Kluyveromyces lactis: one gene and its partner. The protein of the gene in region 1 purifies or fractionates together with the protein of each later gene. This does not show direct contact. Links are inferred from orthologs where the notes say so. Each region holds a gene or a part of one and is shown on either strand. Other genes may lie near its edges. The genes, in order: TIM21 and MGR2.

What was found.
Region 2: the proteins of TIM21 (region 1) and MGR2 purify together in Saccharomyces cerevisiae (affinity purification with western blotting; 3 studies listed by BioGRID, with this or other methods). This does not show direct contact. The link is inferred for Kluyveromyces lactis from reciprocal best matches to the Saccharomyces cerevisiae genes TIM21 and MGR2.

Annotation. Positions count from the first base shown.
Region 1 is NC_006038.1:517,560-520,485, forward strand, and holds TIM21 (Tim21p), read left to right. Parts: upstream 1-1,596; coding exon 1,597-2,301; downstream 2,302-2,926. Other genes in the region: KLLA0_B05742g (60S ribosomal protein uL24), read right to left, coding at 1-1; GAS2 (1,3-beta-glucanosyltransferase), read right to left, coding at 2,574-2,926. UniProt on the Saccharomyces cerevisiae protein: Essential component of the TIM23 complex, a complex that mediates the translocation of transit peptide-containing proteins across the mitochondrial inner membrane. Required to keep the TOM and the TIM23 complexes in close contact.
Region 2 is NC_006041.1:2,160,915-2,163,500, reverse strand, and holds MGR2 (Mgr2p), read right to left. Parts: upstream 1,190-2,586; coding exon 827-1,189; downstream 1-826. Other genes in the region: INA17 (Ina17p), read right to left, coding at 26-502; tyrosine--tRNA ligase MSY1, read left to right, coding at 1,517-2,586. UniProt on the Saccharomyces cerevisiae protein: Required for cell viability in cells lacking mitochondrial DNA.

The DNA of each region.
Region 1 (2,926 bases):
TTGTATTCGATCTGGTTTCTTGTGCCTTGCTACTATGCTCCAATCACTAATAACACCTCATTATACAGCTATATAATTCAATATACATTTGTTATTTCAACAATATCAAATGATGATAGCTTCCGAGAAACTGGTGAAACTGGTGAACCTCGATGAGCCAGGGTGAAGCCAGGCGAGCGGAGAGGATGCCATAGGGCGTAAACAAGTTTCAGGCTGGAAGGGACTATGCAGTGCCGCAGAACTGAGGCCAAAGGGCACTGTCGTGGATAGGAAGGAGGCCAGGCTCGCGAATGGGGCAAGAGTGCCAAGGAGGGGTACTGGAGGTGGGTGCAGGGATGAGACTAGGCTGGGAACCCCTATCTGGCAAGAGAAACAACCAGTGTCAATGGAAAATGCATAGGCGGCCAGGCAGGGCTCACTAGTAAGCCTAAGATATAAGGTTTTCATGATAGAGTTCCTATGTAGGAAGTATAAATTTCGATTTTTTCATTTTCTGAAAAACATATATAAATTCGAGATGTACGGATGCAAACAGTCACAGGATGGAGCCTCATATTGAAATTCCTACCCAAAGAGATTCTCTGATCATACAATTTGAAGGAAAGAACAGCAGTATATAGTAGTTGTTAACAATTGCTAATAAATATTAGCCTCCATTGGTTGAGTTTGTACAAAAAAAAATGTAGGCATTGGGCCTGAACACCATTGATGGTTCAAGTATTATAAAGGAATTTGAATGAATCGGCACGTAGTATGAATTCAAATTTTGAACAAAAATCAGAGGAGCCCCTCCCGGGACTCGAACCCGGATCACATCCACCGGAAAAATGTATGCTAACCATTGCACTAAAGGGGCTGTAAAAAGCACTTATTTGCTTTTGTTCACTAACTCTGTATACCATGAGGATTGATTAATTTCAAATAGTATATTTATGTAAAATAAACGGTTTCCTGTTTGCATGCCATTAACTTGCTTCTACCATTATCCGTAATAACAACATTTCTCCCGTTGTTTTGTTTTACCTGCACTTTTAAGACCGATCACCATTTTCCATTACCAGAGTTGATAGTTATCATCAATTTCGAAACACCTACTGTACTTAAATTCAATAAAACGTAGCCATTATCACTCTTTCTGCACCAATTCATTCACCTTCTTCCACATAAGTATAAATTTATTGCAAATCTACCCAATATCTGTGGCTCAAGATGTAGCCACCAAAACGTCTTCCTACAGCTATTTACATAAACATCTGAATATGTTCATTTAAGGGAATGATCCCATTTACCCTGAGGATGTTATGACGACCTGTTGAACTGAGGCGATATCTCCGCAGCAATAGATTAAACAATTTAGGTCTCGGTGACACCTACAGGTTCATGCAATTCTTACGAATTTCGTCTTATGTTAATTCCCTCTGTCCTTACTCCGGTATATAGTATTCCAAAGGAAACACCGTCCTTGTCAAATTTAGAGAATTAAATTCTTAGGCTAAAAACTCAAAACTTCTTAAAACATAAGTAGTGTAATAAGGCAAAAGAGATTCTTTCGTCAACAGAAGACATTGAGTCAGAGGGCTGCTAACAAAGGCAATAATGTTCTGTCAGTTCATATCACGTCCAGCCCAGTCTTTGAGTGGAAAATTCTCATCCAAGACACTCTGTTTGCCTTTAATTGCATCTCCAGTCAGAATAAAACATACAGTTCAAGGATATTCTACGTTCAATGCTCAACAGAATGCAGGCAACAAGCAACAAAAAAAGAAGATACCACTATGGCCGCGAATTAGGGCTTTTACGACTTTTACCTTTTCCGGAATACTGGTCATCGGGGCCACTGGTTTAGCTGGAGTTGTCATCTATTTGATTGGAGCAGAGCTATTCTCTCCTTCGGGGGATACTCAAATCTTCAATCGTGCCGTTAGCAAAGTAGAAAATGATGAAGTCGCCAGAAGATTATTGAAATGCAACGATACGGAAACGTCTACAGAGAGATTAAAAGCGTACGGAGAAATTTTAACTGATGATCGTTGGACAAGAAATAGACCAATCTCATCGACAAGAAGAATTGACAAGGAGGGCAAGGAACATTATCTCATGAGGTTCCATGTAGAATCCAAGCAGAAAATGGGGATCGTTCATGTGGAAGCCAAAGAATCCGATGTAAATTACCAACCTGATTTCGTTTCAATGTACCTTGATATTCCTGGAGAAAAACGTCATTATTTGATTAAGCCCAAACTTTCCATTGTCAAACCAAAAGGATTCTTGGGAGTTAATTGGGGCCCCAAAAGAGACTAAACTGTAATGAATCACACCAATGGTATATCAAATCCTTTCATTTTTGATACGAACACTTTTGCATTCTTTTATTTTGTTGTTCACCCGCCATATATATATTCCATAATTCTAATGAAACAATTGACGCCTATTCTCCTCAGTGCAATATTGACTGTTAATATGGTACTTTAAGAAAACTTAAACAAGATGCGGGGTTGCCATGCTGCTCCGCCAAAAAATAGTAAACGAAGAACTTATTTCATGTCTATCTAAACAAAGTGCATTTGATTTATTTATAAAAAGAACGTGTATGTCATAGCTGTCAAAAGAAGCAGGATGGAACATATTTTTTGCGAATTACCAAGATTACTGATATCTTGATCATTGGTTGGAACTTTAATTGATTTTTTTGTGTTAACAGAATCTTGAACCGATTTGATTAAGGCTTGACACTGGGTTTTTGTATTGTAGCTTTTGAAGTTAAAATAAATGTCCTCATTGGCTAACGGACACGTACTTCCACCTTTGCCAGATGCATAATATAGTTTACTCAACTGTAAGCTAAGTTTCTGTCTTGCATTACAATCGGCAAACTCTCCGTATTCTCCTTCTGCTCCATTATTGCTAATGTCTGAGCAGTCAATTT
Region 2 (2,586 bases), on another chromosome or scaffold:
ATAGAGGATCATCCCTAGCGTCAATTTACCAAAATTTATACCACTTCCTGCTTGACCTTTTAGAATTTTTATCTGAAGATACCGAAGAATTGTGTGCTTCGTTCAATGCAGCTAGTTCGCTTTCCAACTGGTGCACTTTATGCGTATATTCGAGTTCTTTTTCCTCGTAATCTAATTTCCACCATACATAATGACAAGAAAGATATACGATAGAACCCATTAGTAGAAAGATCCATGCTGGCCTAACAAACTTCTTGAGAGAAGTCTCCTGTGTCTTCTGTTCTTCTGCCTGTAACTGTTTCAACATCTGTAGTTCGTTCTTAATATTAAGCTCGTTAGTCTTGTCATTGATTAACTTACTAATTAACTTAGGATCCACGTTATCGAGTGATTGAAGCTTGGCAAGATCTTCTAGAGTCCTGATCTCTATATGGGCATTACTGTTATTAGCAGCCGCTAGAAAACGGCGAGTTACGACTCTTTTCACCAACGGTCTGAACATTATTGTTCTACTATCTATGTCAACTTCTTCCAAATAGAAAAAACGGTACGAATATACCAAAGTGTGTGTTTACACCGTTCACTAACTGCAATGGAAACAAATTCTGAAGCTCGCAGTATGCCTTTGTGATCCCTACGTGTGTACTGTAATCTCCCCAGGTTCTTTACTTCATCAGCTCCTCTCGAAAAATTGATCATCTTAAATTCCTATTTACAATATTCATTTTACTTAAAAATATACCGAGAGGACAGAAATAGAGTAGATACGAAAAGATTAGTAGGTACCGCTGCCTCTGACCCATGTACAATTGCTGGGTAAAAACGCTTAATCCTTGTACAAACCATAAGTTTGTTTAGCTTTCCATACTTCAAATCTTGATCTCTGTTGCAATTCGGCCATCTTACTATGGTAGAAACCATTGTTGTGGGAGTTGTCGGAAGTTCCATCACTTCTAATGACAGAACCGATACTCATAAATAGGCCAAAAGTGGCAGCAGAACCAGCGATGTACTGCCCTAAGGTTCTCACAAACCCGTTTGGACCTGGGCCTTGTGTAACAATGGCAACACCACCGAATAAGATGCCAGTACAAACACCAACGGTAGTACCCATCATCAAACCCATCTTGAACTTTTCCCAGTTCGAAGGTTGTTGTTGTTGGCCGTAAACTTTTGGTGGTGGTGGCATTTCTGGTTCAAGTCGTGGTTCGTGTTATCTGTGCGCGCGTTAGTCTTGGATGTCTGGAAAGAGAGCGAGACCCTGGTTAATTCCGTTACGTTTTGTGGAGTTGGTCGTTCATACATTTGGTACAGTAATTTGATTCTTTTTTCTAGTTTGAAAACTTCGAAAATTTCGATTCGAGTCCGATTTGATGTGACTTTGAAGTTCAGACGAGAAAACTGCCTAAAGGTCAGTCTTGGACAGCGCCATTGGCCGTAGTAGGTTGTTAAAGCTTTATCTTTTTTAATATATACTAACAGTTGATCTTTCTGCTTTGAAAGCTTCGAAGTTGCAATGATATTTGGGAGGTTGCTTGTGAGAAATTTGGCAACGAAATGCGATGTATTGCAGGTTCTTCGAGAGAGAGGGTTGGTTCAGCAGGTTTCACAGCCGGAGAAGTTATTGTCTGAGAAACTGAGTAATGGTGATAAGATCAAACTATATTGTGGAGCAGATCCCACTGCGAAATCTTTGCATTTGGGTAATTTACTGCCCTTAATGGTTCTTTTGAACTTTTATGTGAGAGGGCATGACGTCGTTTCGTTAATTGGTGGGGCCACCGGCAAAGTTGGTGACCCAAGTGGGAGGAAAACTGAGAGGGATGTTATCGCTGAAGCAAAGAGACAAGGGAACATTGAAAGGATTGTGGAACAGTACAAGACATTTTTCACGAATGGATTGAAATACTACGAGTCTAGGATTAAGGAAAGAGATGCACCAGGTAAGGTCACCTATCTAAACAATATTTCGTGGTGGCAGGATGTTAAGATGTTAGATTTCCTTGCTACTTACGGTAAACATATTCGTATACAGAACATGTTGAGTCGTGATTCCGTTTCTTCGAGATTGCAAAGTCAAGATGGTATTGGTTTCAACGAATTCACGTATCAGATCTTACAAGCATACGATTTCTACCATTTGTACTCAAATGAACAAGTGTCCATCCAAGTTGGTGGTAACGATCAATGGGGTAATATTACAGCGGGTATCGATCTTATCAACAGAATTTCTCCCCAGCATGTGAAGACTCGTCCAGCTTTTGGTTTAACGGTGCCCTTATTGACGACCTCCACTGGAGAAAAATTCGGTAAATCGGCGGGTAATGCAGTATTCATTGACCCTGAAATCAATACCTCCTATGATATGTATCAGTTCTTCGTGAATACTACTGATGCAGATGTGGCAAAGCAATTGAAGATCTTTACTCTGTTACCGTTGGAATTAATTGAAGACATCATGGCTCAACACGCACTATCGCCAAATGAAAGATACGCTCAAAAAAGGTTAGCTAAAGAAGTTGTGGATCTGATTCATGGAATTGGTAAAGGTGACGATGCAGAGTTTGTATCGCGAATTTTATTTGG